Caenorhabditis elegans: one gene and its partners. The protein of the gene in region 4 purifies or fractionates together with the protein of the main gene of each other region. This does not show direct contact. Each region holds a gene or a part of one and is shown on either strand. Other genes may lie near its edges.

Evidence for each region.
Region 1: the proteins of bcat-1 (region 4) and semo-1 fractionate together in Caenorhabditis elegans (co-fractionation; one large-scale study listed by BioGRID). This does not show direct contact.
Region 2: the proteins of bcat-1 (region 4) and gst-42 fractionate together in Caenorhabditis elegans (co-fractionation; one large-scale study listed by BioGRID). This does not show direct contact.
Region 3: the proteins of bcat-1 (region 4) and F35D11.4 fractionate together in Caenorhabditis elegans (co-fractionation; one large-scale study listed by BioGRID). This does not show direct contact.

The regions. Positions count from the first base shown.
Region 1 is NC_003282.8:14,048,972-14,057,426, reverse strand, and holds semo-1 (Methanethiol oxidase), read right to left. Parts: upstream 6,228-8,455; 5' UTR 6,206-6,227; coding exon 6,032-6,205; intron 5,933-6,031; exon of another isoform or gene 5,912-5,932; intron 5,634-5,911; exon of another isoform or gene 5,613-5,633; intron 5,592-5,612; coding exon 5,494-5,591; intron 5,479-5,493; exon of another isoform or gene 5,458-5,478; intron 5,432-5,457; exon of another isoform or gene 5,410-5,431; intron 5,153-5,409; exon of another isoform or gene 5,132-5,152; intron 5,060-5,131; exon of another isoform or gene 5,035-5,059; intron 4,967-5,034; coding exon 4,596-4,966; intron 4,519-4,595; exon of another isoform or gene 4,498-4,518; intron 4,444-4,497; coding exon 4,241-4,443; exon of another isoform or gene 3,776-4,240; intron 3,691-3,775; exon of another isoform or gene 3,666-3,690; intron 3,603-3,665; exon of another isoform or gene 3,582-3,602; intron 3,456-3,581; exon of another isoform or gene 3,435-3,455; intron 3,259-3,434; exon of another isoform or gene 3,237-3,258; intron 3,119-3,236; exon of another isoform or gene 3,098-3,118; intron 2,933-3,097; exon of another isoform or gene 2,912-2,932; intron 2,895-2,911; exon of another isoform or gene 2,874-2,894; intron 2,632-2,873; exon of another isoform or gene 2,611-2,631; and 20 more.
Region 2 is NC_003284.9:11,725,534-11,729,915, forward strand, and holds gst-42 (putative maleylacetoacetate isomerase), read right to left. Parts: upstream 2,404-4,382; 5' UTR 2,264-2,403; coding exon 2,197-2,263; intron 2,147-2,196; coding exon 2,082-2,146; intron 2,038-2,081; coding exon 1,864-2,037; intron 1,773-1,863; coding exon 1,692-1,772; intron 1,643-1,691; coding exon 1,506-1,642; intron 1,082-1,505; coding exon 961-1,081; 3' UTR 731-960; downstream 1-730. Other genes in the region: D1053.2 (Histone-lysine N-methyltransferase, H3 lysine-79 specific), read left to right, coding at 2,618-2,972, 3,027-3,133, 3,208-3,210; D1053.3 (Ras family protein), read right to left, coding at 4,330-4,382.
Region 3 is NC_003280.10:4,601,458-4,605,150, forward strand, and holds F35D11.4 (CYTH domain-containing protein), read left to right. Parts: upstream 1-1,969; 5' UTR 1,970-1,976; coding exon 1,977-2,074; intron 2,075-2,131; coding exon 2,132-2,201; intron 2,202-2,252; coding exon 2,253-2,609; 3' UTR 2,610-2,704; downstream 2,705-3,693. Other genes in the region: coa-3 (Cytochrome c oxidase assembly factor 3), read right to left, coding at 81-278, 335-421, 1,060-1,176.
Region 4 is NC_003284.9:12,875,182-12,880,923, reverse strand, and holds bcat-1 (Branched-chain-amino-acid aminotransferase, cytosolic), read right to left. Parts: upstream 3,445-5,742; 5' UTR 3,431-3,444; coding exon 3,293-3,430; intron 3,247-3,292; coding exon 3,058-3,246; intron 2,835-3,057; exon of another isoform or gene 2,702-2,834; intron 2,439-2,701; coding exon 2,307-2,438; intron 2,086-2,306; coding exon 1,966-2,085; intron 1,914-1,965; coding exon 1,287-1,913; intron 1,221-1,286; coding exon 1,179-1,220; 3' UTR 596-1,178; downstream 1-595. UniProt on the Caenorhabditis elegans protein: Catalyzes the first reaction in the catabolism of the essential branched chain amino acids leucine, isoleucine, and valine.

The DNA of each region.
Region 1 (8,455 bases), on a different chromosome or scaffold from region 4:
GTCATTTGAATTTATTGTCTTTCATTTTAAAAATTCATTTAAAAACAAAAATAAAATTTCTGGGCATTTAGTTCGAGTGATCATCTTTTTTGAGTTTTCATTTTTGAGATATTCAGAAAAGTTGTAGGTCATTTGAATTTATTGTCTTTCATTTTAAAAATTCATTTAAAAACAAAAATAAAATTTCTGGGCATTTAGTTCGAGTGATCATCTTTTTTGAGTTTTCATTTTTGAGATATTCAGAAAAGTTGTAGGTCATTTGAATCAAATGTCTTTCATTTTTAAAACTTATAAACACACAGTGAAACTGAAAATAATTTTGTTTTTGAAAAGGATTATTTGGAAAGGTGACAAAACTGTTTTGAAAACAATTAATTTTGGCTCAGACGGGTTTAGTTTGCAGGAACTTTGTTAGTTTTCCACTACTGTCTATTCATATAATGAACTGAACAAAAAATCAAAAATGAAAAAGACAATCGATAAAAGGAGCCAGTTTTTATTGAGGAGAATTCCGGATGTTCATATATTTTCTTCCTACTTTCTAATCCATAATTTTTTTGTGCAATTCTACTAAATTCCCGTGATTTCAACTCGCCACATTCTTTGTACCATATATGATGATTGCTTCGTTCACATTACAAAAATCCCCTTTTTTCAATATTTATTCGCCTGGTTTCCCCCGTTTTTCTAGTTGCATCATGAGTTGAAAAATCCTTTCAATTTTTTTTTGAAAATCTGAATGAATTGTGATGAATATGTACAAGCTAATTTTTTATGCAAAACATTTTAAAAAAAACCAAATTAAATCCAAATATCCGATGTACAATCTCCACCGGGATAACGCATCTCGTGAGCCAAATAGGGACCTCCTTCAATTTTTCCAAAATCGATCAAAAAGTCTCGATTTATTTCCATTTTTCCAGATTCTGGATCAATGTTGACTTGAACCATTGTGGCGCCAGATCTGAAAAATGACAGGGTTGCAAACGCGCTCCATTGAGAAAGTAGGACGAATTTGGTGTTTTTTTTTTGAAATTATCATGAATTATTAAGCGGACGAAAAGAAACATTACCAAGTCTCGACGTGACTATTTTTTCAACGGAAAACGTGTGTGCGCCTTTAAAGAGTAGTGTAATTTCAAACTTTCGGTGCTGCAGCTATTGAACTGTTTTATCGATTTCTCATAGTTGTTCTTTTTTTTAAAAATTATTTAGACTAGAAAAACAAAGAAAAACATGAATTCGTGATAAAATCAACTCAGCAAGTGAGAGAGAATCGCTGCAAATATGAAAGATTTTTGAAACGGTGATTTTTTTTCTAAACAATAATTTCACCATGAGCGTATTTTTAGTGTAAACTACAAAATTCGAGATAATTTGTTTCGTAAGGACAAAGGTTCAATGAATAAAATGAATAAAAAAGAATTACATTTCGCGAATAGCCCCACAAGTGAGCGGAAATAGTTTGCTCAAAATATACTACATTTATGAAACGGTAACTTTTTTCTCAGAAATAATTCTAAATTTTTTCATAAGTAGCACTCACTTGACATGTTCTGGATAGAATTGATCATCCCATTTCTTGTATAAAGAAGTTGTAACATAAAGTCTCTTTCCATCCAATGACAACTGTAACATCTGTGGACCTCCTTCAATTTTCCGTCCCTTCACATAAAGTGCTTCAATTGGTTTTTCACCTTCTAGAACTTTTACATTTGATTCCGTATGTACACTTCCTCCAATATAAACTTGAGAATTCAATTTCACCTTCAATGGATCAGAAATGTCATATTGACGAATATCTCCATGAAGCCAACACGAGACATACAGGAAACGATCATCCATTGAGATAAGGATATCAGTTATAAGAGCTGGCATTTCTGGAAGAGCCCATCCACTTACTTTTTTAGAAGGAATGAAGGCAACGAGAGTAGCTGCATGGGTTGTTGAGTTCTGGAATTATTTGAAAAATTGAATGTTTCTCATTCAACGTATCACTGAAGATTTGTTTTCAGTAGTATTCAACAAACATTTGGCAACTATTTTCATACTGACTATCAGAATTTTGAGATTTTACAAGAAAAAAAATACAAAGTGTGTTAAAAGAACACCTCGAGAACAGGAAAGAAGCAACTTTTCTGAAAAACTTTATTTTCAAAAAGAGGTTATCGCGAACTGTCGAAATAAGTGTAGGTATATGCGCTGCCAAAATTATATTAACTTTTTGAAACAGTAAATTTTATGTTTTTTTGTAATTTTGCCTGAAAAGTTGGTGGCCATTCACAAAAAATAAATTTTTTGATCGAGCTTTTTTGTTTCAAGGGCACACTGCTGAAGTGGATATAATTTTATTTAAAACGTAATTTTTGTTTTCAAAAGTTTACACGAAAATCTACTGTTTCAACAAACTCATTTAACATCTCGCTAGAAAATTGTTTTCAATTGAACTGTGGCGTGACTTATCGACTGTTCTAAAAGAGCTTTAAAAATCATGAGACATTTAATGTTTCGATTGGCTGATTAAATGTTTCAAGTTGAACAAGGTGTCAATTTTTTAAAATTATATGTTTCAGATGATCTAGAAAACCCGGTGAGATTTCTAATTGTCACTCGAACTTGATTTCCAGTGAGACTATACTTTGCACAGAAAGGAATTTTTGTTTCGCAGCAATGCAGCAGAAGCAGAGATAATTTTACTTAAATCTGAAATCGGTTTTTTTTTCAAAAATTTAATAAAAAAGTCTATAACTCATTAAACATCTTACTTGAAAATTATTTGATTGCATTGACATTGCTAGAAAAACTAACAAAATCATAAAATTTTTAATGTTTCAATTAGCTGATTAAACGTTTTGGTTTGAATAAAGTTTCACTGAGACTATAATGTCCGCGCTTTAAAATTATTTTTTAGTGTCGAAAAAAAAATATTTTTTCTTTCTTTAATTGACCGAGTTTTCTTGATTCACAGTCACGCAGAAAAAATCGATTTGAACTTTTTGTCAAAACTAAATGCATGCTGCTTTTTAAAAAAAGGTTCATCAAAAATCTACTGTTTCACTAACCTAATTTTAAAAAACTCGGAAAAATACGTTTTTAGTATTTGCATCATTGTTAAACGTTTAATGAATCTATAAACTGATTTAAAAATAAATTATTAAAAACACTCAAAGATATTTTTTAAAAATTATTATATGTTTCAAGTAGTCTATAAATACTGAAACTATTTTGAATTAATATTGGTTCTTCCAAATGAAAAAAAAGAAAAATAGCAGTTTGGTCTACACAACTTTCTCTGAATTTCAAATTCAAATTATGCCCTAATCATGTATGCCAAAGCATTAAAGGATTTGAAATGTACGAAAGCGCTCTGATTTTCTCAAAATGTCCACATTTTTCTCGAAAGTTAGTCATTTTGCCAAAGAACTTGCTCAGAAAACTTCGGGAATGAAAAAAAATCAATTGAATAGAACGGAAGTTTTGATAACAACGTATTGAAACAATTTATTTATTTTTAAACTTGAAAGTTTCTAATGCAATGTTTCGGTGATCCCAGAAAGTTACACATCAGCTTACAACACTGCTATTCAATTACTGACAACGAAAATATCAGTACTATTGATAAATTGTCAACTCCCCCTACGAAGATCATTTATATTTGATTTCATACGTTTTTTTGGATTAGCAAATGAAATAAACTTCCAATAAGATACAATATGATAACCTATTGAAACAGTTTTCTAAAAGTTTTCTAAAAATTCTTTTCAATATTACTCACCTCCTCAACAGGATGAATTCTAAAAACCGGATCTATTTCAATAGATGACAGGAATACCAACAGAACTAAACTAAAAACAACAGAGTGTGTTATGAGGACAAATTGAAACTGAAAAGTTTTTTGAATGTTTCAATGTTTTCGTAAAATCACGGCATTGATCTCCAAAACTGTTTAACCATTTTCAATTGACTGAAACTTTTGAAAAATCAAACACTCTACTGAAGAGTTTTCATGGAATAAAATTTGAGTACTCTGGAAGAAGCAACAGTTTTGGAAACTTTGCTACCTCCCAATCAAGGATGTGCGGCAGTTCTCAAAATTTTCCGAGCTCGGCAAATTAGTTTTACAATAATTTTAATCTTGATTCTATTCTACGGTTTTAACATATTAATCTCAGTTTCTAAACAAATAATAACTTATTGAAACATTTCAATTTTTCTGAAAATTCTATTGAATATTACTCACCTCCTCAACAGGATGAATTCTAAAAATTCCTGATCCAAGAGCACATCCCACAAAAGCGTGCTCACTGGTTGGCTCATGGAGGAATCGAACTTCAAGTGGAAGTGCTCCAAGTGGCTGTGGTAGATCAATTGTTTGAAGATATTTCTTAGAGTCCCATTCGAAAATATGAACACTGTTTCCGTAGAGACCCTCTCCGACGTGAGCTGGAAAATTTCATGTTTTAAAAAAATTTGTAACTTTTTGGTTTTTAGTGATGCTGATGGCTCATGCCGCAAGGAATAATTTTAATTTTTGGTAAAATGAAACAAGAGGTGTTGAAACAGTGATTTTTTAAAAGTATTTTCAGTTTTCCCACCTGGATTAAATCCCTTTTTAATATGATTCGGTGATCCCCATTCCGTAGAAATCATCACATTTCTCCTTGGCTGGTACCAGAAATCATAGTTAAACGGAACAGTCTTCTCGTCAGCTGGCCATGTTCCTTTCGGCTCAAATGTCTTTCCATCCAACAACAAAAAGTTACCAGATGGAGTTCCATTAGCTTCTCCCAAAGTACTAATCATAATATTTCCATCGGCAAGACAATGTGAAGTATGTGGAAATGAAAGGTTTAGAGAATGAAGTTTTGATGGTTCAATTGTATGTTCAAGATAGATTTTACGCTCATTTTCTACGTTGATAATGTAGATACGGTCAGAGTTCAGGCAAGGAACGATCAAATGGGATCTGAAATTATTTAGAAATTATTCTACTGTTTTGGTTTGTTAATGAAAGTTCTCCGATCTAAAAATTTATTGATCTTTCAGTTGACTGAAATGTGAAGTTTGTAAATTCGAATTAAAAAACTGTTTCAAGAAATTGGTTCAAGTCTAACTAAATTTATAAAAATGATCTTCTCGTGAATGTCGCTCTGATCTGATTTTATTACAAAGCTTTTGCATCCGTATCAAGGGTCGTGGAAAAATTTAGGTTTATCAGTTTTTTCTTGAGAAAATCTAAAAATCAGAAAAACAAACAAGGGAGAATCTATAGATTTATCAAATATATGATGATTTTGTTTGAAGAATAAAAAAAAACATGTTATTGTGACCACTTTTTAAAAAAAAAAAGTCGGAAAACCACACTTCAAAAATGAAAATTTAATTAAAAAAATTTTTAAACAAAACTTGATGTTTCGAACAGTTGATTTAATTTTGCCACCTGTACTAATAGAGTAATAGTATCATCCTAAAACAATAAATATTTTAACTAACCTCTTCTCAGTTGGTTTGTCATGACAAGAAGAGCACGCATTCCATCCAGTATGATGGACTTCATCACCAATATGTGGCACATCAACTCGGCTGATCACCTGAAAATATTAATTTTACTGGAAAATGTTATGATTGATCGATCTCTAAATGCTAAAACTACGAGTGGATATCAATATTTTGAAACCGATAATTTTTTCAATTAAATAATAATTTTTAATTTTTACTATACAATCATATATCGTGCAAATCGATTTAAAACTCTTAAGCTTGAGATAACCTTGAAATCAGAGAGATCAAATCAAAGTTTCCTGATTTATTTTTGGCTGATGCAACAGAGATGAAAATTGCAAAATTGCAATTTTATTCCGGTAATTTGAACAATTTTTCTGATATAGAAACAGTTATTTCAAGCTTTATGGACGTGATCTACAAAAGACAATCAAAAAATTAGTTATTCCTAAAACTCAATACGTCTTTTTGAAACAGTATTTTTTTCCTCCAAACAAGAAAAAAAATCAACTTTACAAATAAAATTTACCTGACAAAAAGTGTCACTCTCTGGATTCACATCAACTGTAAAAATGGCATCAGGACCATCAGCTGCATTTGGAGCAGTCACAAATAAAACTTCTTCTCGTGGTCCTTTTATAGCATCAGCTGGAGATGCATATCCTGGACCACCATGACATTTTAAACCACAGTTTGGGGACATTTTGGTTTTTGGGATTTTTGATCTGCAAATATTGACTTTTTTTTAAAATCAAACAATATAATCAAATCAGTAGTATGGATTAAAAAGTTACATACATACAATTTTTTGCTGAATTAAACTATAGCAAAATTAAATTTTTTTCAAGTTTGACACTATTTTTGTAGCTTTGAAAACAAGTTGCACGAAAACTTTTGGGCAAACATTTTTAGCTTCAGAAAAAATTACTTTTTTTGTCACAGCTCTAAAAAGGGGAATGTAAAAATTAAAAAAAAAATACAGCGAAAATTTGTAAGTTAAAAAACTAACGCGGATGTAGCAAAACCAAAAAAAACTGAAAAATGTGAAACTTATAAACACACAGTGAAACTGAAAATAATTTTGTTTTTGAAAAGGATTATTTGGAAAGGTGACAAAACTGTTTTGAAAACAATTAATTTTGGCTCAGACGGGTTTAGTTTGCAGGAACTTTGTCAGTTTTCCACTACTCTCTATTTATATAACGAACTGAACACAAAAATCAAAAATGAAAAAGACAATCGACAACAGAAGGGGATGACATTGATAAGGTATCACTAGCTGTTCTATGTCTTATCTCTAGCAGTCATCAAGATGATTGTTCAATGAACCAACTAGAAATCTACTAGAAACACGTAGGAAATTATTCTGATACAAACTACAAGTACCGTTTCTGGTTGAGATTAATTTTTGAATTTAGAGATGAATTTGTGAACATTGTGTGACTGATTCAAAGTGCACAGATATTTTGATAACATTTTTTTTTAATTTTGGAAAACCGATCTGACTACAAAACGTGAATTTATTTGAAATTGAAAATAGTGAGTTTTTTCGTTTTTAATTTATCTTCTGATACTAGGCTTAACAGAAAAATAATAAACAATTATTCAGGGTTGTGCGCGCGACAAATTCCAAAATTTGAAGGACAAAATTATTGATGAAGATGGGATCAACTGTAAATTATTGAAAATCTCCATGAGGATTCCTTGAAACAGTAAAAAAATGTATCGCGAATATAGCAAATTTTTAGAAAAACTCAGCTTGGGTTAATTAAATTTGCAAATTTCTTATTACGTTTTCCACTAATAAAAAGGTTTAAACAACAATTTTATTTATTTTTTATTTATTTTAGGTGCTGCAAACGGCAAACGGCAAATGTCACTCGCTAAAAAAAATTGGTCGACGATGAAAAAAAAACTTTCGGCGTCTTTCAGCATGCGAAATTTTTTTTATTTTTATTTTTTTTTTATTATTGGAAATATAAACAAATTTGAATATTAAGTTGTTCATATTTCCTCATGAGAACAGTCATTCAAATCCACCTTAAGCATAAAAATCTCCACAAATATATGGGGAAATTACAGTTAATATTGCTACATGTTAATACTGTTACAATACTAATAGAAAACTCATACCAATAGTAAAATGAGGCATGTTATCAATCTTTCATTTGAATTTTATTGGATTTTCACATTGCTTCTCATTGTATTATATAAAATTTATTGAAACGCCTAATGAAGTTTTAGTGAAATAGTTAAACATTTTTTTGCAAACTTTAAGCAAACGTAAGCCGTTAATAGCTTAACTGTTAACTGGTGCAATTTTGCTTAAATTTGCAGTTTTGAAGTTTTTCTACAATCGGTAAATTTATTCACATTTCAAGTTAGTCTCGATTTGAAATGCAAGTTGAGCGCTTTTAATATGTTTTTTTCACATAAAATTTAATATTGGGGTTTTTTTCAATTTTTCCGATTTTTTAAAAACAATCAATTTTCAAAATTTCTAAGTCAAAATTTCTAATCAAGACAAATTTGGTTACAATTTTTTAAAACATTTTTTGCAAAAATTTTGGCACGGTGAAGTACGGTGTTTCAAAAAAAAGTATACAAAACAGTGAAGCAAGCAAAAGTCTGTGAATTAGACAGAAATGAAAATTTAAAAATACATAAAACTGAAGCGCAACGGTGGGAAATTTGTAAACCGCCTAATAAAAATGTATTGAAACACTGCAACATACAGTGCGTCCAACTTCTATAGCACCCCCCTCTATTTTGAGTGTTTGAGGCTTTCTGGAAATTATTTTGAAAAAGTGTGAATGTAGTTCGATTACAAATGTTAAAAAACCGCCACACCTCGGTTTTTGTGAGAATATCTTAAAAACTACGGAAATTAGGTCAAAAAGTTGAAAAAACGGCCGTCCAACTTCTATAGCACCCCCTCGAATTTTTGACAATT
Region 2 (4,382 bases), 1.1 Mb from region 4:
TGATTCCAAAATAATTTGATGTTCAAATCAATAAATGTGTTGTGTTTTCTTTTATATATAGCATTTTTATCAGTGCAGGCGTAACTTAAAAATGCCTTGACAACGGGAGGTATACACTTTGACAAAGTTGTCAAACATCACCCTTTATTAAACCTAATTCGTCACTCTTTTCCTCTTGATTCTGGTTGCATAAAGACAAAAAAAGCAGAAAAGGAGCTGCGAAGAGCGAGCCAGAGATAGAGAAAATGAGAAAAGTTGGAAATTGAACTTTGCAGACCACACTGACAAAGAAAAGAGGGGGAGAATGCGGGAGGAGAAGAGTGAAAAAAACGGATACTTTGATGAATCGAAAGGCCGGCTTGTGTTGTGGGTGGCAACCAACTAGTACTATGACTATGCCAACCTCGCCCGTAAAAACACGTTCTCTTTGCACGGAAGTCTTCCGAAAGTTCTCTAAAAGTTTCCATGACACAACATTGCCGATTGGGTTTTCAGATGCTAATCCCCAGGGATTGAGTTTGGTCATGAAGAGGAGGACAAAAAAATGACTTTTGGAGGCTTCCGGTCTGCAACTGTTTAACTTGAATTTCGAAACATACTTCTAAATAGGTAAACATCAAAAATTCTGTCTTCAAAGCAGGACATTTTTTTTGAACGCAAAAAAGTTATCAGTGGAACTCGCATACTAAAAAATTTTCCATTGGATATTTCGTTTGAATAAAGTTCAAAATATTTTTAAGAAATTAATTTATTTGAAAAAAAAACACTCAGTATGAAAACGAGAAAAGTTAGTTTACAAAGTTAAAAAAAGCAACTTGCTTTAGGATATCGCGGACATTTTCTGTTGTAAATTTATTATTACTTTTGTGCTAATTTAAGAGACAAAGAAACATTTTTTTTTAATTCTCAAATAGTTAACTCTTGTATGTCCAATCCAATAACGCAATCATTCATAAGAATCTAAGCATTGAGTCCGGTATCTGGTTGATTATCAGGATGAGCGGCAATAAAGGCGGGGATATCAGCAAGAGTCTCATTGATACGATTCACTGTTGGGTATGGCGACAAATCGAGGTTGAATCTGAAATGACGGTTTGATTGCGATCGGAACGATTTGGAAGGGAGGTTATTCTGATGGTTATCTGTGAATCTCTCATGTCTCATCCTAAACGCTCATCGCTTCCAATTCATGTTTGTTGAATGACTAATACATTTTGTTTGAATCAGGAATCCGATAAAAAGGTTGTTGCCACACAAGTGGATGTTGTTTTCAATAGGAATGTGTTTTCGTTTAAATCACTTGCTAAGATGATTCAGTAACTGTCTATGAAAAATTGGTCAGTGTTGTTTGAGGGTAACCCAAAAGGTGTTCAAATTTTCGAGGTTTTGAATACGCAAAATGTCAAACTAATACATTGAAATTCTGGATAGATTACTAAAACATAATAAATTTTCTCAAAAAGTTATCTATGTCCAAAATTCCCTGACCCTCCCTATAATCATACCGGTTAGCTGAGTAGATAAGTGGCGGGATGGAGAGATCCGCAATCGTGACGTCATCTCCGACAGCATACTTCCCAGAATGTTGCTTTAGAAGAATTTCAAGAGCAGTGAGACCTTCGACAACAAACTGTTTGGCAAACTGAAATTTTAAAAATTGAAAACATACATTGAAGATTCTGAAATTAAACCTGTCCTCCGAATCCTGCTTCTTTTTTATTCAAAAGTTGAAGAACCTTCAAATTGTGAAGAGGTTGAATTCCAGAAGCAACCTGTAAACCTCAAAACATAATTGTTACAGTTTTTGTAAAACAATAGCAGTATAAAGTTAAGAAAAAAACCAACTAAATACGTAAAACTTACCAAAAGAGAAATAGCTCTAGCGTGAGCTCTCTTGATTGGATCTTTTGGCAAAAGTGGAACGTCTGGATGCGTTTCTTCCAAATACTCAATAATCGCAAGACTTTCAGTAATTACTTGACCATCCACAACAAATGTTGGTACTTTTGCAGCTGGGTTGATTTCTTTCAGTTTGCTCTAAATTTTAAAATAATTTAAAGAACCGCTTGATTTTCTCTTACCTTAGCCTCTTCGGACAGCAAGTCGACAGTTTTGTATTCGTAGTCCACGTTTTTCAAAGCAAGCGCTGAAAATAACATTTTTGCTAGTTAAAATTGATATAATTAAAATACCAACCGATGCGAACTCTCCATGAGCACGATGATCTCCAATAAGAATACAGAACTGGCTTTTGGTTGGACATGTCTACAAGCAGAAAATAATTTTGTAAATTCTCAGAAAGAATAACTGATGATAATGACTAGTTGAAAAATAAACAAAAAGGGTCAAAGACGGAATGATGTCGAACTAACTGATAAGATTGGACGGTGTATGTCGACGAAATGGTTTTGTTGTTGTATATTGCAGACGCAGAACACTAGAGATAGTGTAATTGTGCAGACACACGTGGTCTTCTACTATACATTACCAACATCATATGTAGACCAAGAGAGAAATGCAGATTCAAAAAACATTAGAAGGAATAAGAAGAAGTAGACAAAACTATGGTAAGCCTTGGGCGATGCCTTGAGAGAACAAGCAGCCCACGACTTTTTTTATGAGGCTGCTCCCAACTCTTGCCCAAGCTGTACCCAAGTCATTTTTTCAAAGACAATATAAAAATACACAGTGCACTTTGATGTGCTTAAATGAAATTGAGAGCATCCAGGAACTATTTTTCAATTTAAACGACGTTGAGACACGTTCATTAAAAGCATATCTGGTGGATCGTATTAATGAGATCCAGACCCAAGCCACGGTGATTGTGGTGAACAACGTTCGTTTTTCGCCGGAGCTCAAGTTGGAGCTGAAAGAGATCTTGTCGAAATGCATTGACGGAACGCGGATCATTTCATCAGAGTCGATTGTTCCACGTCCCCGTTCTCAAAGCTCGACTTCTCGTCGTATCGATGGTAAGTTGAAACTAGGTGTTAGGTACATCAAAATACTAATTATATCTTTTTCAGATTTTGTGAAAATCACGGACGAGCGTCTTCTTCATCTTGTGGAAAACAATACGTCTTGGACTGGTGACAAAGTTCCGTTTTATCTCACTGAGATCAACCGCAATAAGGTAAGTTCGTGAATATGAGAAATATTTGCGGTTATGGGTTAAAATCAGAACTAATATTAATTAACTTTTTACAGTGATCGTCGACGCCCTTTCTTCTTCCCAACTCCTCTCTCATCAACGTGTCTTCGTGCTCGGGTCAACTTCTGATTTTCCGGTGTATTTTCTATTTAAGATCTCCCCTTCACTCCCTATAGATCTTTCATCTCCTTTGTTTTCCCCTCAGTCTCTTCTCAGTGCGTCAATGTAGCACGTTTATGATTTAAAAAACCAACTTCTTGCAATCTGTACTATCACTCAAGTTGGTCCAATAAATTGTTGTTTTTAAATCAACCGTCCTATTTATAAAACGTTTCAAAATGTCCTTCCATGTTAGTCTGTCCGTTCTCTGCTGTCCTCGCAAGTCTCTGAATCCCTCGTCGTTGTGATCCTAAAATCCGTCATCGATTTGTCCATTGAGTATTCTCAAAAAAGTTCCCATCAACGACATTTCTATTTCTGACCTGAATCAGTCGAAACGCAAGAGAGGTAAAGATCAGTCGACTAGGGATTGGGATGAAGCTGGTTCTAAAAACTGGTCTTTTGATAATCTGTCATTTTTCAGTGATCAATCCTATGTCATCCGTCTGGCTGCTTCAACAATGTCTACGCTGTAACTTCACAGTATACAACAAACTCTTGAAAAAAGTATGTTCCATTAGGTTATTCATTAGTTGGTATTGAGCTTTTCTTCTAATTGGACTGTAAAGTAATATGCAAAAAGTGATTAATGGATTTTTTTAGTCTTGTAAAATATTAATACAGTGAACTACCGCGCAAAATTTTACACATTTCAAGCATCGAAATGCTATTTTCAAATTGTTTTTGAATCCCTCTTTTAGTTAAGATTTCATCCAAAAATGTAATAGTGGAGAAAATGTTTATTTACAAATTATTTATTCCAATCTCAAAAATTAATAAAACACAAATACACAAACTACTGTTATAAAATCCAATTATCATCAATATCACAAGTTCACTGGAAACATACATTTCAAAATTACCGGGAGGTTCGGGGAGCTGACTAGAACTGAAAAGTTCACCAAGAAAAGAAACATTAAAATTTAAGTACAGTTGTGTTTCAGTAATTTTTCCATAATACGAAACAATGCATTATCTATTCCCATTTGAGATCAAACGACATTCCATATTTCCTCACATTACATTATGATGCACACTTTTGAATCTTCAACTTTCTCTCCTTTTTCTTTTT
Region 3 (3,693 bases), on a different chromosome or scaffold from region 4:
TAGGCTATTAAAAAGCTATAATTTTAAATTAAAAAGAGGAAAAATTAACAAAAAAATAAGGAAAAATCCGAAAAATCGATCTATTTCTTGGCAAGATGTCCATGAGTTTTTGGATTCGTAGCGGCCATTTCTTCGTCGATTTCTTCGAGGAATGTCTCCTGTTTCACAGAATACATTGTATACCAGTAGATTCCGATAACAACACCCAAAAGTACGGCAAATGAGATGTGATTCTTGTAATTTTTCGCGAAAATCTCCTTGACTCGCTCTTGATTCACCTGGAAATTGGGAAAGAATTAAGGAAAATTGAGGAAAAAATTAATTTTAAAAAAACCTTCTCAAACTGCTTGGCGAACCGTTTCTGTGGTCGTGGTAGATCCTCAATATCGATTGTTTCCAGCATCTCATTGTCCTTCTTTTTCTGGAAAAATTTAGCTTTTTTTATAGATTTTGTATCCAAAAAAAAAAAAAACACTTTTTTTGCAAATTTTCGGCTTTTCCGGATAAATTCACGGTTTTCAATCATTTTCCGTTAACAAATCCTTGGAAAATGGTATATTATAGATTATTAGGCTAATTTCAGAGTTTTAGCTGTTTTTTTCGGGGATCAAGTCTTTTTTTCAGTTGTAGAACTTGAAATATTCGCTGAAACTTCAAAACTGGCCTGGAAATCGATTATTTAATATTTTGAAAATTTTTTTGAAGGAAAAAAAGTCTGAAATTGCAAAAAAAACTGTCTGAATATTACAACAAAAAAAATTGAAAAAAAAAACACGAAAATTTAAAAATTAATTGAAAAATAATTTTTTAAGCCTAGAAAAATAACCTCTAAACTCTACAACTTAAATATAAACTAAATTAAATCTAAATTTATCTCCAAACTAAAGGAAAACAAAACCAGATGCGAAGCTGGCAGAGCAAAATTGTTTAGATTATATTCCAAACTTTACTTTTTTTTGTTGATTTTTTGAACTAAAATCGAATCTTGGATCGATGAATTTCACGAATTTTAGGCTTTTCCAGACGAAAAAACACTCCAAAAAATTTAAAAAAACTCACTTCAATTTGTGAGAACTTCGTCGTCTCCGTCGGCAATTTTTCCTTTGTGGCAGCTAGACGGCTCGTGCTGACAAGCCTTCGGAATGCCAGTGTCCGGCAATTGAGCACAGCGAGCATCTGATATTTATTTATTTTTTTTTTCGATTAAATTGCATTATTGTTGTCAATATCACAAGGTGTTCAAATATCAAGGGAAAATGTTTGAAGCAGCGGCATGAGATTTATATTGATTTTCATATGAAATGGGGAAATGTGTACTGAAAACTTTATGAAAAGGATAAAAAGAAAGAGGAGAAATGGATGAGTGAATGGCATTTTATATCAGAAGACACGATCTTTAGAGGAGAAAAGTGTAGGGAAAAGGTGAAAGTATTCGGTTTTTTTCATGAATTTCATAATTCCTATAATTTTCTGACAGAAAAATCAATAATTTTCTTTCACTTCCGCGTATCGAACGTGAAAACGAAACAAATTCGGGGGCATGTTTGCTTTAGAAGTCTCGCACTCGTGTGAAATGAGCTTCGGACAGAAAATCACTGATTTAATGTAAATATTCAAACATTTTTAAAAATAAATTGACTAAATTCATTGAATAATTGGAAAAAAAATTAAAAAAATCAGTACAAATCGAGGAAATCCGATGGAAAAGCAGGACGAAAAAGCATTTCATTGTTTTTGTTTCCCTGGCGCTACTTCCAAGAGGAGTACACACGAGGTGGACGAGAAAACCCTCGCGGCCGCAGTTGCCCGCGAACTTTTGAGCGTTTGAACTCTCAAACTTTTTTATCAGTTTTCAGTGACAATGAATTCAAAATCACTCTTTTCTCGAATTATTCGAAATTATTCGAAGCCTTTTCCTTTTAAGTGGATTATATTTACAAAATACACCACTAATTAAGACATTTTTCAGCAATACGATGTCGAGAAACGTGGAAATCAAGGCAAAAGTTCAAAATCTCGATGAGACGGTTCGCCGCGCCGTGGAAATTTCCGGAAAACAGCCGACTATCTTGAAGTGAGTTGAATCAGAATAGTTTTATTGGAAATCAATCATAAAAATGTTTTATTATAGGCAGCATGACATCTTTTACGAGTCACCGAATGGCCGCCTGAAGATGAGAAGCGTTGAGGAGAACGGAGTGGTAAATAATAGTTTTCTTTTTTACTTTAAAATTAAAATTTTGATTTTTCAGGCCCACACAGAGCTTATTTGGTACGATAGATCTGACGTGGCTGGCCCGAAGCTCAGTAATTTCAACAAATTCGACGTTCCATCTGAAGTTCTTGATGCTCTGAAGCTCTCCCTCCAATCCTCAATGGGAGTCAAAGGAGAGGTGAAAAAGACGAGAACTCTGGTGCTCCACGGTCAAACACGAATTCATATTGATCGCGTCGATGGGCTCGGTGATTTTATGGAGTTGGAAGTGTGCCTGTCGCCTGAAGAGACTCCAGAGCACGGAGAGAAGATAGCTCATGAGATTCGGGAGCTGCTCGCCGTGCCAGAGACCGATTTGCTCACTGGTGCCTATATGGATATGTTGAAGGCTTGAAGGCTTCAATTATTTGTTAAATTTGAATTTTTTTTTTTTTCAATAGCTCTCGGTTATATGTTGTTATTGCGGATACATAAAAGTTTATGCATCAGAAAGTTTTATATTTAATCTTGCAGGATCATAATCGCTAATCTCCACAACAACAAAAAACAATTACTTCAAAAATCTGACATCATTTTTTGTATTTTTCTCCTTCCTTTTATCGAAAACCTTATCAATAGAAATGTCATTTCAGCTTTTCGATTTTATTTTATTTTTTTTCTCTCTCTCTCTGTCTCTCTCTGTCGTTTTCCTAAAATTTCGTTGAAACAGAGAGGCTCAGACAATGAGAAAAACGCTTCACTCACTCGATTAATGTGCGAATTTGGAAGCCGGAGAGTGGAAAAAGAACGGAAACAAATAATGAATAACTGATGCCGATGTTGATTATGACTTTTTGAAAAGAAATAAAGAGGAAATTTTAGTTCAGAGATATTTTTTCATCAATTCTCACTATTTTTATGTTATTTTAACTAGTTTTACCCTAAATAATTGTGTGCAGCTTTGATTCACGTTCCCGCGATTTCTAATTTTCCAATTATCTGTGTACTGTATCCCCAAAAGTACGCGAATACAACCAATGCCCCCAATATTACGACAGAATGACACTGAAATTGTCTGAAAAACCAAGCTTGAATCTGAATTTCTACGTTTAAAATGCTAAAATTTGAGAATTCTGTGTTTTAGATATAAAATTGGTGGTTTTTCTTGAATTCCAATACAAAAATCGAATTTCCCGAAACTTTTTTGTTTTAAAACATTTTTGTAGGGTACTGTACTCTTTAAAGGCGCACACCTTTGAGAGGAGGTTACGGTTCCCGAAACTTAAAGGCGCAGACCCACAGAATAAGTTCGAAAAATTTACGAGCCTGGAAAAGAAATTTTAAATTTTTTTTCAATAAATTCGCACATTTTCAACTCGCAAAAAACATTTCATTTGGAAAAAAAACCTAAATAACACGAAGAGTAGTAAAATTTCTTTAAAAAGAGCAAAAAAGTGTCATAAATCAGTCAAATATGTGAGTTGTTGTGTTGTGTGAGA
Region 4 (5,742 bases):
AAATCGAAGGTAGTCTTTTTTCATCCATACTGTTCAGAATTGCCAGGTCTGTTAGAAAACACTAGGCAGAGTAGACTAGTTTTTACGAATGTTTTTAAAATAGTTTGATAAATGAAATATAAAGACTCCTTTTGATTTTACCGTCATCAAAAATTTTGAAAAAAAAACAGCTTCTGGACAAATATTGCAAATATTAAAAATAATTATTTTTTAGAAACTCGTGCATGTGGCACTACGATTTTCTAACATTTTTTATGATTATGGAAAATGGAAAACAAAATCTCAGTTTTTGCCACTATTTTGGAATTCATCGATCAAAATAAATTCCATCGAATTTTATGGTCTTCTTTTATTCCAACTATTACAATTCAAACATTGTAGAATTTGAATACGCTACATTCTCAAAGATTGGCAAATTCTCACCAGTTGCCACTTTTTGAAATAAAAATTTTTTAAATCAAACACAAAGTCGCTAAATATCTAATATAATATTTTTTGTAAGTGAAAGTTAGTAGTTTTCAACAAAACATTGTTTGAAAACTGATATCGTTCTTTATAGTTGTCTCTAAAAAATTTAAAAAATAGAAAAAAGTATAAAGTTTTCAACTTTTATTAAAAGAAGGTGTTTTGAATCAACAAACATGAAATGCAATCGAATAGCCATTTGAACTAACAACGACTTTCTCATATACATAAAAAAAATTATTCTAGATGATCATATGAGTATTTGACATGGTGAAGTGTAGCAGGAAGCATGATTTATAAACCGGGACACGAGCGCTTTTTGAGGGGGTGGAAGGAAGTTGGGAGGGGGATTGAAGAGAAGAAATTAAAAAAATACCATTTGAAATCGAATCAATAAATGTGTCTATAAAACTAGTTGTAGTTTTAGTGAAGGGGAATAAGGAGGCGAATGATCTAATCAACGCCGAGCTGACTTGTATACGTATTCTGATATGAACTCAGAAAATCGTTAGCTTAGCTCTTCGGAAAAGCTCATATAAGAAATCCAACTTCATAAGTTGTTCCCAGTTGCGTAGAGGAAAAAAAAACAAATTGAGGGGGAAGAGAAAACTCCGAGATTGTTGAACAGAACCCATCGTTAGTATTAAAAATGCAGTATTGAAGGAAGGATATTGAAAAGGTTTTGATGCAGAAGTGGAGTATTATATTGTGTATTAAATGTCGCGCATCCATCCGTCTTTGATAATTCGGCCGTACTGAAATAAAAAATTATTAGTTGAAATTTATTTTCAATAGGAGATAGCTGTCTTAAACAAGCTTACCTGAATGTCATTAATTGTGTTGTAGAATTTTTGCATAACTCCAAATTTGCTGGACATGGTTGGGATGTGAAGCTCCTCGTACTCATCGGTAACCTTGTTGTGGTAGAGAATCTTTCCGACTGGTGAAACAACGCAAGCAGTTCCTGATCCGAACATCTCGTAGAGTCTCTTCTCTGACAAAGCTTTCTTGACTTCTTCCATGTTCAGTGTGCGTTCAGTGACCTTGTACTCTCCCCATTCTCTCCCAAGCTCAAGAAGTGAGTCTCTGGTGACTCCTGGAAGGATGAGTCCACGATGAAGTGGTGGCGTGATCAATTCCATGTCGCCTTCCTCGTTCTTCCAGAACAAGAAAATGTTCATTGTTCCGACCTCTGTAAGATCTTCGTTCTCTCCATAAAGCCACAAAACTTGTTGGCAGTTTTTGCTGGCGGCCTCCTTTCCGACCCAGATTGTTGGGGCGTAGTTGCATCCCATCTTGTATGCGCCAACTCCTCCTGGGAAAGCACGGATGAAACGAGAATCAGCGAGCAAGCTGACTGGCTGGAATCCTGTAGAGTAGTAGGCTCCGACTGGTCCAGTGATAACGAACATCTTAGCTTCGGTGGCACATCCCACTCCAAGTGTTGGCTGAAAACAGTTGGTTTTACAGAGGAATTGTTTTTTTTGTGAATCAATTTACATCTGTTCCGATAAGTGTTGGACGCAAATACAATGAGCATACATCTGAATTTGGCACCCATTCTTGATCCAAACGAAGTAATTCGGTAAGTACATTGATCATCTCCTCTGAGTCGAAATCCTGCAATTTTTTGTTCATCTGATGTTTTTTTTTCATTCAGTAGTTTTCATGCGCTCAAGACGCTCAAACTAATTACTTCCCTCTCACATGCTTTCAGGAAAAATTGCACAAAAAGATGACTATCACTTAATTAGCTTTTCTCTTTTCTGAGAGCTTCTCCCTAGTTTTTTTCTTGTTTTTTGATATTTTTTCGTATATTTTACAACGCTAAAGTCAATTACCGGAAGTGCAGCACGGAGAGCAGTTCTCTTCATACGAGCCATGTTCATTTCTGGACGGAACATGCGAATCTTGTTGTCAATACCACGGTAGGCCTTCATTCCTTCGAAAAGCTCACTGGCGTAATGAAGAACCTGGAAGCAAAGCAAATGGATTAAAATTGTTAATTAGTTCCTAGTTGTTTTTTGTGGTTGTTTGATGTAACAAAACACAAAATCGTCGGTGATCTTTAGCTTCAAGATTGATAATTTCCAACAAGTGTCATGCTGTCATGTCAATCTCATTTTTTGGCTTCTGGTCGCTGAGAAAAGCTCAGATTCAACTGATTTTTTTCTAGTTTCGAGTTTTGTCCCCTACAAAAGTTTCAAAAGTTTCACATTTCTTCGTCTTTCTATCCCATATCAGATTTCACTGATCACAGAGAAGAGGTCACAGAGGTGAAAAAGACAGGTGACGGTGATTACATCATCTTTGAAAATCTTCAAAAGTTATCGCCCGCACAACGGATAGAAATGTGTGGCAGACCGGCGGGTAACAAAAAAAATGCAAAGCGAACTGCCACGTGCCGTTTATTAAAATGATTGACATTATTTTATGACCTTTTCTTGAATTTTTAATTTTTTTGTTCATGCTAATGCTTATCATTCAATAACGCTTATCACTAAAAAATCACACTTCAGGAACTAGTGCAAATATTCAATATTACCGTTGACCACTTATGGCGCCATTTTAAATTGATGGACAGTAACTTACTTTTGCTCCGGGATGAATTTTGAGCTCTCCAATTGGCTCAATCTTTGGATGATGCCATCCTCTCTCGGCATCCCAATCGCATGTCATCATGTAATCAGCGTATGTGTGTCCGAATTTAAGCTTTGTTGGGTCCAATGGCTTGGTCTTCAGTTGTGTTGGACCGGCGAGTTGAATTTCAAGGTCTCTGTGCTAAAAGCATTAACAGTTTAATCAATATTCAGACTATAAAACTAACATAGAAAGTCTTCTTTCTATCGTATTCCTTGTGAATTTCCTCTCTTGGTACTGTCTCCAATCTGGCTGCGGAGGCCATAAGCCTTGATCCGACAAGGTTGAAGGTGCGTGGAGCAACTCGCGACAGGATTGCTGGCATTATTGTGTGTATTTCTGGAACAGAAAATATTATTAAAGTTGATTCAGCGACCGTGGGAAATGAGAAAAGTGGACGATTGATAGCATGGAAATGATAATGATACGGGTGTTAATAAGAAACAAGATTAGTAAAGAAGGCCCAGGCAGGAAGTTGAGGCTTCACGTGTGGAAAAGGGGACAGGACACAATGTCCAGCTGCTATGCCGATGGAGGCAGTACATTTGGACTGGCGAACTGGCGCCATATATCAATAGAGTGTGAAGAAGTAGGAGGAGTAGAAAAAGGGGGCTGTGTGGCGGTGGTTTGTAGGCGCAAGGGACGTTGCCTTAGTAGAAAACATCTATCGCTCTCTATGTTTCTCGGTGCTTCTCGTCTATCTGAGCGATGGACGCTACGAGTTCAACAAATATTGAAAGAGGAGCAGAGAAATGAAGAAGCGGGGTAGAAAGCAGCAAATGGGCCCCCGTGGTGGCGGGCGCACGTGGGGAGAGCAGCGCGAACAAATGATGAGATGTTGTGAGGAGTGTGGCCGATGGGAGGGTAACGGCGGGGCAGTGTTGAGGGGCGGGAAGGCGTCGGCGACCGACCGATCGACCGCGGCCTCCCGTCAGGACGAGACCCCGCCCATCTCTTCCTGATCGGAAGACGAAAGCTTTTGACCCGGAGAAAGGCAAAAACAATTGGCAAAAAAAAGATAGTTGGGCTCTAGTCGCTACACGTCATTGGATTCTAGAGTTTCAGACCCACCTACTGGCTTAGACAAGAAAGTGTTGCAGGAAAAGAAGACTTCGTGTTTAATACGTAAAGAGTGTTATGTCTAAAAGTTGAAGGCTTTTTCACTGTACATTCTACTTCATCATTTCAAACTTTTTGTTTTTGAGCCTCGAAAGTATTGTAGAAAGTTTACGCATTTTTCAAAATTTCCTGCCTGAAACGTATCTCTCATCTGTCTTTTGAAAAATTTATATGACTCGGTAAATGAGAAAACTGACCCCTTTTTCACAGAACAAAAAAGTCTGAACCCCTTTCCTCTGACAAAAAGCATCAGATAGAAAGTGGAAAGACAAAACGAGGCTCTTGAAAACCTTGAGGTTTGTTAAAGCTCAAACAAAACCTTTCCGTCATCACAGTTTTAGCAGACCTGTGCTCGTAAAAAAACTTAGATCAAACAAACTGTGGCCACGTGAGCCATTTTTTTCTATTTGGACAGTTGAAGCTCTCAGCTGCTAAATGGGCTGATGAAGAAAGTAGCGAAAACTACAAATCTCGTAACAATTATATTTTAGGCCTCTAACCAAATATCTAATGTTCTTACAAGAGATAAGATTTTGTGGTAGTTATTTTGTGCTACAGAATCTTATCAAATGCTCGAACTATCTGAATTGAGTAGAGATGATTTGGCAGTAATGGAGTTCGATGAGTTTTAAATAAAAATTGAATCTGGCTTTCGAAATTCCTTATCAATGTCCTATTTTGTGATTAATAAACATCAAAGTCGGTCACTTCCGAGTTCAAAACCACTTTTTCGTCCCGTAAGTTTGTATTTTTAGTACCCGCAGGAAATGACGAGTTTGAAGACAATATCACCACGAGGATGACTGCACAATTCGACCGCAACCACGAGCTCCGCGTGGTTGCTAGTCAATGGTTGATGATCACACGAGATGGCTAGACGAATAACAAAACGAAACAGAGACCGTGAGAATGTTGTCCTTTCAATGCTGGGTGGCAGTGTGATGTGATAGCAGTTAAATGTTTCAACACCGTAATTCAGAGCAATGGTCACAACCAAACATCTTGCGGGAAAAGAGATTACATCATGTATGGTAACATCCTTGCAAGTAGAAGAGGCGAGAATTGGGGAGAGTGATAAATTTCACATGAAAAAAAAAACAGTTTTTCTTGTAGAAAAAGGTGAGAGATATGAAATTGTTCTGGTAGAAAAAAGGCAATTGTTGAAAAGTTTTTATATCAGTACTTTTGATCATAAGTTAAATACAACTTACACAATCTATCAAAATCTAAAAGTCTAATTTATTGAATTATTGGTTGTTCTTTGCTGTGGAATACTGTTAGAGACAACACAGAAAATTTATATTAAAAAAGCTTTATCTTCCAAAACCAACTTTTTCCCAATGTCAATCTTTGATAATAAAAGTCACTTGGAACACGGAAATATGTTATCGCTTCAACGAAAAGCGAAGGAGGAGAAGATGTTATCATTGGTTAGAGGCGAAAAAATCGTATAGTTGGAGCGACTCAATCGAATGACCAGCACTGGTCACTCGGGGTTGCAGTGATCGAGCCAACTCT